Linked DNA regions of Yarrowia lipolytica. The protein of the gene in region 1 interacts with the protein of each later gene in a biochemical or structural test. Links are inferred from orthologs where the notes say so. Each region holds a gene or a part of one and is shown in the gene's direction. Other genes may lie near its edges.

Evidence for each region.
Region 2: the proteins of YALI1_D20118g (region 1) and YALI1_F32565g form a complex in vitro, tested with the Saccharomyces cerevisiae proteins (3 studies listed by BioGRID). The link is inferred for Yarrowia lipolytica from reciprocal best matches to the Saccharomyces cerevisiae genes RIA1 and SDO1.

Annotation. Positions count from the first base shown.
Region 1 is NC_090773.1:2,006,732-2,014,704, reverse strand, and holds YALI1_D20118g (uncharacterized protein), read left to right. Parts: upstream 1-2,855; coding exon 2,856-5,912; downstream 5,913-7,973. Other genes in the region: YALI1_D20164g (uncharacterized protein), read left to right, coding at 1-2,085; YALI1_D20061g (uncharacterized protein), read right to left, coding at 7,634-7,973. UniProt on the Saccharomyces cerevisiae protein: GTPase involved in the biogenesis of the 60S ribosomal subunit and translational activation of ribosomes.
Region 2 is NC_090775.1:3,253,953-3,258,962, forward strand, and holds YALI1_F32565g (uncharacterized protein), read left to right. Parts: upstream 1-2,629; coding exon 2,630-3,364; downstream 3,365-5,010. Other genes in the region: YALI1_F32534g (uncharacterized protein), read left to right, coding at 1-67; YALI1_F32546g (uncharacterized protein), read right to left, coding at 203-671, 724-734; YALI1_F32554g (uncharacterized protein), read left to right, coding at 1,512-1,910; YALI1_F32597g (uncharacterized protein), read right to left, coding at 3,806-5,010. UniProt on the Saccharomyces cerevisiae protein: Involved in the biogenesis of the 60S ribosomal subunit and translational activation of ribosomes.

The DNA of each region.
Region 1 (7,973 bases):
GAAAAGTCCAAATCCAAGCCGGTGTACTCCGATCTCGACTCCGCGCTCATGCGAAAGGATGAGGAGGAAATGAACTACTACGCCAAGAAGCTCGGATTCAAGGACGCCAAGAGTGCCAATTTCGGCTCCGACGACGAGCTCGACGGCATTCTGGACGGTCTGGATGTTGATTTCGGGTTCGACAGTGAAGAAGAGTCCGATCATGTGCCAGAATTGGTTGACGACAAGAAGCAGAAGAAGAAAAAGGAGAAAAAGGCAGCCAAGACGGTGAACAACGATCTTCCCTGGTCCGAAGATGAGGTTGACTCGGATGACTTTGATACAGATTCTGAAGACGATTCGAAGCCCAAGGTCAAAGAGAACCCCTATGTTGCTCCTGTGGCTGCCAACGCCGATTCCAGTCAAGCGGCGGCCAAATACGTGCCCCCTTCTCTGCGAAAGAAACTGGCGCTGGAAGTTGATCCCGAAACCAAGGAGATGGTTCTGATTCGTCGAAAAATCAAGGGCTCGCTCAATAAGCTGTCGGAAAGCAACATTGGCAGCATCATCAACGAGATTCTGCGTGTGTTTGACGATAATCCTCGTCTGCTGGTGACCACTGTTGTCACCGAATGTCTACTTGAAAGCACTGCCTCTGAAGCGGTGCTTTTGGAGACTTTTCTTCTGCTGCACGCAGTCATCGCCACCATTCTGTACCGGCAGGTGGGAATCTCGTTTGGTGCCTACTTTGTGCAGTCTCTGGTTGAAAAGTTCTTCACCAACTACTCTGCCGGCACCCATAAGGCCTGCTCTAACCTGTTGGCGTTCCTCACCGAAATCTACTACTTCCAGATGGTTTCGTGTCGGCTTGTCTACGATCTGATTCGAAAGTTTCTGGCCGACCCAAACGAGCGAAACACCGAGTATCTGCTGAAGATTGTGCGGTTTGCGGGCTCCCAGCTGCGTTCCGACGACCCCAGCGCCCTCAAGACCATCATCAACGACCTCCAGGCCTCTCTGGCCAAGACTGAGACCAATGCTCGAACCAAGTTCCTTGTGGAGTCTGTGGCGGCGCTGAAAAACAACCGACAGTCGCAGCACGGCATTTCCCAGGGCTACACCGAGACCAAGATGCGGCTCAAGAAGTTCATTGGCACCTTCAGCTCTTACACTGTCAACGAGCCCATCTCCGTGTCTCTCGAAGATATCGAGAACGTGGAGACTCGGGGCAAATGGTGGTTAGTGGGTGCTGCATTCAAGAACCAGGACCAGAACGAGTCCCAGACACACCGGGGCGACGACGACCTCGATCTGACCACCGTTCATGACGTTCTCGACGCCGCAGAGCCCAATTGGCTCGATCTGGCCCGAGAACAACGTATGAACACGGACATTCGACGGGCTGTTTTTGTGGCCATCATGGGCGCCGAGGACTACCTCAATGCTCTTGAGAGGGTGTCCAAGCTGCGTCTTAAGCGTGTTCAGGAGCGTGAAATCCCCCGGGTGCTCATTCACTGTTGTTCGAACGAGTCCGTGTACAACCCGTTCTACGCTCTTTTGGCCGTCAAGCTGGCGGAGCGGCATTCGCTCAAAATGACCTTCCAGTTCACCCTGTGGGACTTTTTCCGCGAGCTGGACGGCGACGACGACGACGATTCCGACGACGACTCTGACCGAGAAGAGTCTGTCAAGGTGCTCGAGGGCTCGGACAGCAAGGAGCTGCTACGAAAGACCATGAATCTGGCGCGAATGTTTGCCCAGATGACCGCCGAGGGCACCGTGGGCCTCAACATTTTCAAAAACGTCAACTTTCTGACCGCCTCGGAAAACATGAAGATTTTCCTGGAAATGTACTTTGTGGCACTGTTTGGCATGCTGGGCAAACGAGCGGAGGAGGGCAATGGCAAGTCACGGGACCAGAAACAGCTCGTCAAGCTGCTACTCAAGCTCAAAGACAACGCCTTGTTACTGAGAGGTATCCAGTACTTTGTCTCGGAGATTGTGGTCCACAGCGACCTCATTGTCAAAAAGCGAGAGCGACAGAGAGTTTTGTGGGGCCGAGACGTGACCACCGACATTGTCGACGAGCTGACCAAGGCCACATAGACTATAGATGGGTATTAATTGATCGTATGATGTGAGAGCATGGAACTACATGTAGTACAGTAGACAGAAATAGGCGCGTATAGAGTGGCAGATGTTGGTTAGAGTACGAGAACGGTATTGTACGGTACTGTACGGAGCAGAATAGTATTGAACAGAACAGTGTACATACAAGTATTGTTCCTTGAACAAAACCCTTCACTATTTCATTGCTCGATACGTATAGTAGTTGGACTTACTTCAAGCTCCTCCATCTCACGATACCGAAAAGAAAAGCTGTGAAGAATCCGAAAAGACAGATGTATTTCCTGTTATCGCCGCTACAGTTGACACAAACTATTTGCAACATTATATTATATATATATTTCCCCAATGACCCCCAAATATCCGAGACTCCAAATTCTCTATTTTTTTAAATTTTTTTATAATAACAGAATATATTAAAAATTACTTTTATTTTTCAAAGTTGCTTCATTTCCAATACTTTGCTGTTAAAGAACCTATCTGACAGTCTACATCAACTCGATGGATATTGGTCATATCACCAAAAAAAGATATTCATTGTAATCAGGAGACTCTGATGAGTAATATTCTCACATATCATCTCCCCCTAATCCACGTGTCCGCATCCTGGACCTCCCCGTCGGTCCAGCCCAAACCCTGACGTCATCAGTGCTTATGCAGAAACTCTGATCTGAAGATACCGTTTTAACATATATATTTTTCTCCACTCCTCGACGCCACTTTTACTTAACAACATCACCACATCTACCATGACGTTATCGCCCCTACAACTTCGCAAGCTGCAATCGGACCCGTCGTCGATCCGAAACATCTGCATTCTGGCCCACGTGGACCACGGCAAGACCTCGCTCAGCGATTGCCTGCTTGCCTCCAACGGCATCATCTCTCAGAAGATGGCTGGAAAACTGCGGTATCTGGACTCGCGACCGGACGAGCAGGAGAGAGGCATCACCATGGAGTCATCTGCCATCTCGCTTCACTTCCGAACCTTCAGAAGAGATCCCAGCTCGACGGAAGAACCGCCCAAAATGGTGCCCAAGGACTTTCTCATCAACCTGGTGGACTCTCCAGGCCATATCGACTTTTCCAGCGAAGTGTCCACGGCGTCGCGATTGTGCGATGGAGCGGTGGTGCTGGTTGACGCCGTTGAGGGAGTCTGCAGTCAAACGGTGACGGTTCTGCGACAGGCGTGGATGGAGCAGCTCAAGCCCATTCTGGTGATCAACAAGATTGACCGACTGGTGGAGGAGCTACAATTGACTCCCGCCGAGGCCTTCACACACCTCAAGAAGCTCATTGAGGGTGTCAACGTTGTTCTGGGCGGATTCTACGCCTCCAACCGAATGGCTGCCGACCTCGAATGGCGGGAGAGCGGAAAGACTGGCACCTTCGAAGACGAAGACGACAGTGAACTCTACTTTTCGCCCGAAAAAAACAATGTCATTTTTGCATCAGCCATCGACGGCTGGGGATTCACCGTCGCCCAGTTTGTCGCCATCTACGCTGCCAAACTCGGAATGAAACGAGAAAACCTCCAAAAGTGTCTGTGGGGAGACTTTTACTTTGACCCCAAGACCAAGTCGGTCATAACCAGCAAGGGGCTCAAGGGCCGGAATCTGAAACCGCTCTTTGTGCAGCTAGTTCTGGACAACATCTGGGCCGTGTATCACTGCACGGTGATTGAGCGGGACGCCGACAAGAGCGCCAGGATCATCAAGGCCCTGGAGCTCAAGATTTCGCCCCGAGACCTCAACTCCAAGGACGCTCGGAACCTGCTGACCACCATCTTCCAGCAGTGGGTGCCTCTTTCTGTGTCCGTTCTACATTCCGTGGTTGACAAGTTGCCCGATCCAATTGTGGCCCAGGGCAAGCGAATGCCGGCAATTCTAAAATCTGTTGGTTATCCCGATCAAGAAGGCAATGGCGAAAACGAGGAAACCGTGTCTCAGGGCATGCTCACGTGCTCCACCAAGGCTCCACTGGTGGCCTACATCAGTAAGGTGGTTTCTATCCCGGAGGCTGATCTGCCCAAGAACCAAAAGGTGATGAAATCCATCGACCAGCTTCGAGAGCAATCTCGATTGGCACGAGAGAAAATTGAGAACGGACAGACTGACGAGTCATCGGCTGCCGCTGAAGCTGCTCCCAAAGATGAAGTTGACGATCTCACTGCAGCATACTCTTCTTATGACTACGAGGAGGACTTCGATATTGGCGAGTCCAACTACGTTCCTCCTCCTCCCGAAGTTCTCATTGGTTTCGTCCGAGTCTACTCCGGTGTCATTCGAACCGGGCAGAAGGCCACAGTTCTGGGACCCAAGTACAACCCTGCCGAGCCTTCTAAGCACGTGCTTGAGGTGGAGATCACCGATCTTTACCTTCTGATGGGCCGAGAGCTCGTGACCATCGACCATGCCCCTGCTGGAGGTATTGTGGGTATTGGAGGTCTTGATGGTGAGTTTCTGAAATCCGGCACTCTCGTCTCTGACCAGTTCCGAGGCCCCAATCTCGCGGCGGTGGAGGGATCCATGACCACACCCATTGTGCGAGTTGCATTGGAGCCCGAAGACCCCACCCAGATGTCGCATCTTGAGGAAGGTCTCAAGCTGCTCAACCAGTCCGATCCCTGTGTGCAGGTGCATCTTCAGGATACTGGTGAGCACGTGATTTCGTGTGCTGGAGAGCTACATCTTGAGCGATGTCTCAAGGATCTGACTGAGCGGTTTGCCGGCATTGAGATTCAGGCTTCCGAGCCTATTGTTCCCTATCGAGAGTCCATTGTGGCTCACCAGGTTGCTCCTGGAGGCGAACCCGCTCCAATGCGAGACGCTGAACTTGGACGAGGAGTTGTTACTCTGGAGCTCGAGGAGGAGGGCCATGTGGATCTCAAAATGCATGTGACCCCTCTTCCTCAGGCGGTGGTGACATTTTTGATTTTCAACCGAGTCTCAGTCGCGGCTCTGGCCGGTGTCAAGAGCGCCGAGGAGGAAACCGAGGATTCGTCAGTCAACCAGAACATTCTCAACAAGGAGGACTTTCAGACCAAACTGGCCGAGATTCTCGAAGAGGAGAAATGCACCTTTACCGTCGACCAGATTGTGGCTTTTGGACCCAAGCGTGTGGGTAGTAACATTCTGATCGATAATTCCGAATCTGGTCTTCTACGACGTTTCTTTGGAGCAACCTCCGACATTTCGTTCCACCAGGATTCCATCCTGACTGGATTCCAGCTGGCCACTCAGTCTGGACCTCTCTGTAACGAGCCTATGCAGGGGGTGGCAGTCTATCTTGATCTCATTGACGACCCCAACGATGAGCTGGCCGGCAAGCTCATATCTCCCTTTCAAAAGGCAATCTACACTGCCTTTTTAGACTGGTCGCCCCGTCTCATGTTGGCCACCTACTCGTGTGAGATCCAGGCGTCCACCGAGGTGCTGGGTAAGGTATACTCTGTGGTTACTCGGCGTAAGGGTAAGATTGTGAGTGAGGAGATGAAGGAGGGCACTCCATTTTTCACCATTTCTGCCACCATTCCCGTGGTTGAAGCATTTGGCTTTGCTGAGGAGATCCGAAAACGAACCTCTGGAGCAGCCCAGCCCCAGCTCATTTTCGCAGGCTACGAAACTTTCGATATGGATCCCTTCTGGGTGCCCACGACTGAGGAAGAGCTGGAGGAGCTGGGAGAGACGGCCGATCGAGAAAATGTCGCCCGACGGTACGTGGACAATGTGCGGGCTCGAAAGGGTCTCTACGTGGAAAAGAAGCTCGTTGATGGAGCCAATCGACAGCGAAACCTGAAGAAGTAATGTATAGATATGATAATGTATAGATATCGGGAAGTTTGAGAGGAGCGAACATTACTATGAGCATCTGGGTGGTATAATTGACAGCGCAGAAGACGTTTACAAGTGTTGTCTTAATCAAGTCAATACTTCCCCAGACTCCATCTCTACATTGCACCTGAACACAGTGACATCGATTCTAGCATGCGCTATGTACTGTAGAATATTGACTCGTATAGATACGATATTAGTCGTTAGTTCATTTTGCACATGAAACTGAATCGGTCATTTCTTCGATTTTCTCAATTTTCACTCGTTTTAAATATTTAAACTTTTTAGACATATTTAAGGTTGTTATCGTGCATATTTGTGACAAATTTTAATAATTAACATCCATATTTTTCCACCGACCGATTGCCCAAGTAGGATTTTTATTATTATTATTCGCAGTAGTTTCTCACCACCACAATATCACAGATTCCGCCTGCAGTTGGACTAAGAATTTTCGTCAGACATTACAAAAGAAGAAAAAATAAGGTTAAGCGAGTGAATGCTTAATTTAGCGACCCGAACGCTTTCTGAACTGCAACAACACTCATATCAACTCTGTATAGTACTTTACTAAAAAAATAACCCGTTTTTTATTTTTTTAAATCTCCAAAAAGATTGCAGCACCCAGGATTCTCGTATGGTCTCCCACTACAATACTAACTGGGCTCTCTGGTGCTTGACTATGGCTGATCGGACGGGAAGCCGTATTTTCACCAGGATATGGCCGCAACCGTGCTGTGTAAGAGATCAAATCGACTCATAAGGTGTGCTAAGATTAGTCATCGATCTCTTATTAGAGAAATAGTGAGACGTCCTTTAGGACGTCTGGAGGATGTCACGTGCCTCGCACGTGACCTTGAGGGGTTACCCGGATGCTAAGGATTACCCTGTGATGGGGACAGTATAAGTAGGATGTTACGTTGTATTTTAATGTATCAAGTTTATTGCCAACAACTTCCGGAGTACAGGTGGTACTCCATAGCAGACCAACGGTCCCCGCTGGTGTGAGCTGAACTACTGACTAAACCGGATCCGGGTTCTGACATGCTGGAGGATCTGCGATCGACCCATAAGGTGTTGTGTGCTTAGACACCAGGGGGCCGCGTGGGATCTTAGGATGAGGAGCCTCTCTACTGGTTGCAGTATACGTAGCAGATGACGTGTATTTTGATGAATCAAGTTATATGCGACGGGCTTCCGGAGTGTCAAGGGCTCGACATTTTGGTAGAGCCCGCTGATCTAAGCAAACTGCTGAGTAATTCCGATACTGGTTCTTTACATGTGCTCTGCTGGTGGCTGGAGTGTTTAGATCTGCCGGAAACTCGTACTACCTTTCGGCTTGACTCAGGGTCTCGTGTTGCGATTGACAACATGTTGGACAGCCAGACTTCATGTGCGCTTTTTTTTTAAGAGGAGAATCGAGATGGATCGGAGATTCAGGATGATCTATGTTGAAGGCTTGAACAATCAATTCAGTTGAACTGCTCTTCGAAATGCTGAAGAGGTTCTGTTCGCCTCTATGAAGTACACGGAAGAATATTGTCCGGATCTGTCTCAAAAATCGGTCAATCTGCCTATCAACAAATGTCAGCGGATGATGGACGGGCTGTTTGCGATCTCTGGAATAAATTATGATATAGAAAAGCATCCGGTTGTATATCCTGCGGTACAGTGAACAGAAGACACTGTGGAAGCTACTTGAGCTTGACGACACCCTTGGAGACACCCTGAACAGCATTGAAGATGAGCACTTCTTGGCCCTCCTGTAGATCGTCGCGGGTCAAGAAGCCCTCGAAAATCTTGTTCGAATCGATCAAGTGACGTCGAGTAACTCCCATCAGACACCCAGACGTCACCTTCGGAGTGGTCCACATTTCATTAACCTGAACCGCAATGTTGGTGATGGATCCCTCTGTCACGTGGCCATTGTCGTTCACAAACAGCACCTCCTCGACCATGGGCCTGGTGATGTACGCTGCTCGTGCGTCATTGTATTGTTGTCTCTTTGTGGTCTTGAAGCACGTGAAAGGACCC
Region 2 (5,010 bases), on another chromosome or scaffold:
CGACGAGGTGGACCAGCAGGGACTGGAGAAGATTGCCTTGATTCTGGCGAAGTCTTGTGAGTGGTAGCGACCATTCAGATAAGTTATAATGTGTAGAAATCAATACGATACAGTGTCTCGTTGTATACATACAGTGCAGTCTATCAATACATAAATAAGTCCTAAATACTGGCTGGCCCAACCAGAAAGCAGTCCTCCACAATCATCTCACCCAAACAAAGAAGAAACACAGGAAAATGAAGGCGAAGAGACCGAGCCAGACTCTCCAGCCAATACCGCTGTTGTCGGCCATGATCATCATTCGCTTGAAGGTGCCCTTGAGTTTCGTGGATGCATTTTCAAAAGTGTCCTCCAGGTTGTTGAGCAGGTGGCTGGAGTCCCGGATCTCCACTCCGATCTTGCTGGTCACGTCCTTCAGCAGCTGCACCTTAGCAGACAGACCCTCCATTTGCTCGTCGTTCTGGGACTCCAACTGCGACAGCATCGACGTCGAGTACTGCTTGTGGCTTTTAGGATCGTACTCCTCCTGCTCGGGAACGTAGGGCTTGGCCTCTCCAAAGGACGAAGACGACCCGGCGTACGGCTGTGGAGGTTGAGGGGTGTTGATTCGAGAAGAAGCCTGGCTGGAGGCTGGTGATCCGTATTGTGCCGAGGAGGCAAAGAGTTGATGTCTGAGTTAGTTGCTGTGCACGGAAGAGAGCCTTCATCGCAATAGGTACTCACCTTGAGGTCATTGCTGTTTGTTGGTGCTGAGGTTCTTAGACTTTCACAAACCTCATGCACATGAACACGCAAAATAAAGACACGATTTGGTTCCCATGTTAGCCAAATAAGGTTTCGTTGAGCCCACCTCGTGGTCATTATTTCGGTGGCGATAAGAGTCGTTGAAAAAAATGAGACATTGTAGTTGTTTTGACACGTCAATATTTTTGAGTCATGTTTTTCAATTGTCAGAATATCATTTCTCCGGAGCTATTTAGTTTGTTTGCTGTGTCCACTGTAGAACACCTCATTCCTGCTTACTGCATGAAAAAAATGAGTGCGTTGTGTCGATAGTCGATATGAACTGAGGCCGACTCAGAGGCATAGAAGGAGTGGGTGATGGGTGGAGAGCAGGGTGACATGTCTATAGTGGTGTTTGTGGTATTGATTAAGCAGCACTTCAAGAGTGAGTATGCCGTATATTTTACTGTAGACTGACCGTGGCTATTTCGGCAGATTGGTTGATTATATTTCGAAATATTACATAGATCAGAGTTAGAAGAAGTTTCTCATTCGCACAATACTATGAATAGTCTGTTACTCCATAGTCTCTATTTTTTATTATTATAATAACATAACTGTAGGTCTTCGGTCCTTCAAAACTACTTCACAGTAGTACAGCAGGTAGATGCCTCGCGCCATTACTCGTAATTGTAGTTCGTGAATAGAGTTCTGGTCCATTATCAACGAACACATCTTGCTACAAGTAGGTAACATTCACAATCTGACAGAAAAGAAACATTCATACAATGATCCCTTCAAAACACACGACTATCAAAGATCTAGACATTGTCACCTATGCATTCAACGACAAGATCTTCGTCAATATCCACAGCAAAGGAGCATACACTAGATCATACTATGTTCCCCTAAGACTATCTCCAGGCAATCAGTTCTTTGCACATACCGAATATGACGACGAAGGCGAAGACATCAGCAATCTGCCACTCACTCATCTCACTCCCATGTCGCTAATTGGAGGCTCCAATGCTGACACATTGGGTCAGATCATAGCTGTCCAGGTGGCGTCCCAGGTAGTCAAGGACTCGCCCACAGAGGTGCGAACTGTGTTTGTGTCCATCGGCCGAGTCAGTCAGGACGACTACGACGACGTTCTTGAGGGAGTCAAGCTTTGCCGTGTTTGGTAATTGATTATGGGTGTTGGATTGTGTGGAGGTGTGGGAGTGGTTGAAAAAGAGCCTTGTGACACCCGTCGATTCGTGTGCCTGCAGTGGGACTATCACCAGACTCTTTACGACGAGTCTGAGCTGTTATTTCTGCGGTTGACTATGGTACAACTACAAGTACTGTCCTGTACTTGATAAAATGACAGTCGACCCGGTACACACAGTGTAAGCACGTTCATCAGTTGTGATCGACAGCACCTACTGCACCTACAGCACCCCCCTAGGAACACAGGTGCTACCGCGCCCATAGCCCACACTTGTGATCATTGCACCAGAGGACAACTGAACTAGAATAAAATTTAATATCATTGCATGACTCTCGATCGGTCAGTCGAAGCGTGTTCTCTGATAAAGGCAAGCTGGGACAGAAACAGTGTGCCAGTACTTGTGGAGTAGAACCGGCTAGTATGAGAAAGAACCTGAGCCAAAGAAATTGGTATGAAATCAATCTAAGAATATTGTATACATATATATCGACACAAGCACTGACACTCAATCTCTGACGCCCATTTGATTCATCTTTGCTCGATAGTCAATATTCTGGGTTTATGCAGCTTACATGCAGTCCTGTCGATTAACAATTAAATTCTGCTTCGATATATATAAGGTCGAACCGCCTGGAATTACCGACGAACACCAAGCTTTTACTAACACTTTTTCGTTAACACACACAATACACAATGGCCGGAATTCAGCAACCATCCGGACAGATCAAACTGACCAACGTGGCTCTTGTGCGACTCAAGAAGGGCCGAAAGCGATTCGAGATCGCTTGTTACCAAAACAAGGTCCAGGACTGGCGTAAGGGAGTGGAAACCGACCTTGATGAGGTTCTTCAGATCCCTCAAGTCTTTGTCAATGTCGGTAAGGGACAAACTGCGCCTCGAGACGACATGAAGGCCGCCTTTGGACATACTGACCAGGACAAGATCATTCTGGAGATTCTCAATACCGGAGAACTCCAGCTTGGAGAGAAGGAGCGACAGCAGCAGAGCAACCAGCTGCAAACGGAGATCATCCAGCTTGTGTCGCAAAAATGTGTCAACTCCAAGACCAAGCGACCTTATACTGCAACCATGATTGAGAAGGCTCTGATTGGAGAGCTCAAGTTCAACATTGTGCCCAAGAAATCCGCCAAGATCCAGGCCATGGATGCCATCAAGCTGCTGGTGGAGAAGCAGATCATTCCCATTGCTCGAGCTCGTATGCGAATTCGAGTGACTGGCGATGTCAAGAAGCTGGGGCTAGGAGAGAAGCTCAAGACCGATATGGGAGCCACAGTCGAGGAGGAGACCCACGACGAGCTGGTCTGCTCCATTGATCCTGGTCAGTTCCGACCCGTGAACGAGTTTGTTTTGGCTGAGGTCAAGGGCAAGTGCAAGGTCGAGGTCATGGAGGTTGCTGTTCAGAATTAGCCAGTGATCAGATGCCAAGCAACTGAAGCAACTACCCACAGTCTGACATGGTGCCCCAACAGCGAAGCGCAAGCTCTCTATGGGCCTCCACTTGGGCCTCCACTTGTCTCTTTAGGACATGGGACATGATATGCGTGTAGCCTATTCCTCGGGGCTCTCTGCATATGGGGAACATGCCACTGCTACTTGTAGTACACAGATAGTTACAGTACTGTCAAAACACCATATATTTAATGTATATTTACAGAGCAATTGTGAAGGAAGTGGAAGAAAAGGTGTTTTTTTTGCTGTATAAAGTTGGTGTTCCAAGTAATTGGGGTAAAAAAGGGGTTCCCTGGTCGTCTTGTCACCTGGTACTGAATGTTGTTACAACAAAGTGCACATACTGTTCAAATGTCTGTCTAATAATCAATTTTCTATAAATACAAGGTACTAAAATACTTAGTCGACCTCCTCGACAGTGGGGCCCTCGCCGCCAGCGCCGGGAGGAGGAGCACCTCCAGCACCAGCACCGGGGAAGCCACCGGGGCCACCGGCACCAGGCATTCCGCCGGGAGCACCACCCTCGGCTCCGTAGAACTTCATGAGGATAGGGTTGGCAACACCCTCAAGCTCCTTCTGCTTGTCGGAGTACTCCTCAGTAGCACCAGACTGGGTAGAGTCAAGGAACTCAATGGTCTCGTTGATGGCCTTCTCGAGCTTCTCTCGGTCAGCCTCGTCAACCTTCTCCTTGAACTTCTCTTCGGAGAGGGTGTTCTTGAGAGAGTAGGCGTAGGACTCGAGACCATTCTTGGCGGCGATTCGAGCAGCCTCGGCCTCATCTTGCTCCTTGTACTTCTCAGCATCGTTGACCATTCGCTCAATATCCTCCTTGGAAAGTCGGCCTTTATCGTTGGTGATAGTGATCTGCTGAGTCTTACCGGTACCCTTCTCAACAGCGGAAACGTTGAGGATACCGTTGGCGTCGACGTCGAAGGTGACCTCAATCTGGGGGACACCTCGGGGAGCAGGGGGAATGCCGGACAGCTCGAACTTACCAAGGATGTTGTTATCCTTGGTCTGGGCTCGCTCACCCTCGAAGACCTGAATCAGGACACCGGGCTGGTTGTCAGCGTAAGTGGAGAAGGTCTCGGACTTCTTGGTGGGGATGGTGGAGTTTCGGGGGATGAGCTTGGTCATAACACCACCGGCAGTCTCAATACCAAGAGAGAGAGGAGCAACATCGAGAAGGAGAAGATCCTGAGTGGAGGAAGAAGTATCTCCGGAGAGGATAGCGGCCTGGACGGCAGCACCGTAGGCAACAGCCTCATCGGGGTTGATGGATCGGTTGGGCTCCTTACCGTTGAAGAAGTCAGAGACAAGCTTCTGGACCTTGGGGATTCGAGTGGAACCACCGACAAGAACGATCTCGTTGACGGCGGACTTGTCGATCTTGGAGTCTCGGAGGACCTTCTCGACGGGCTCGAGAGTACCTCGGAAGAGATCCTGACAGAGCTCCTCGAATCGGGCTCGGGTGATGGAGGTGTAGAAGTCAATACCCTCGTAGAGAGAGTCGATCTCGATGGAGGTCTGGGCGGAAGAAGACAGGGTTCGCTTGGCTCGCTCACAAGCGGTTCGCAATCGTCGGAGAGCTCGCTGGTTGGTGG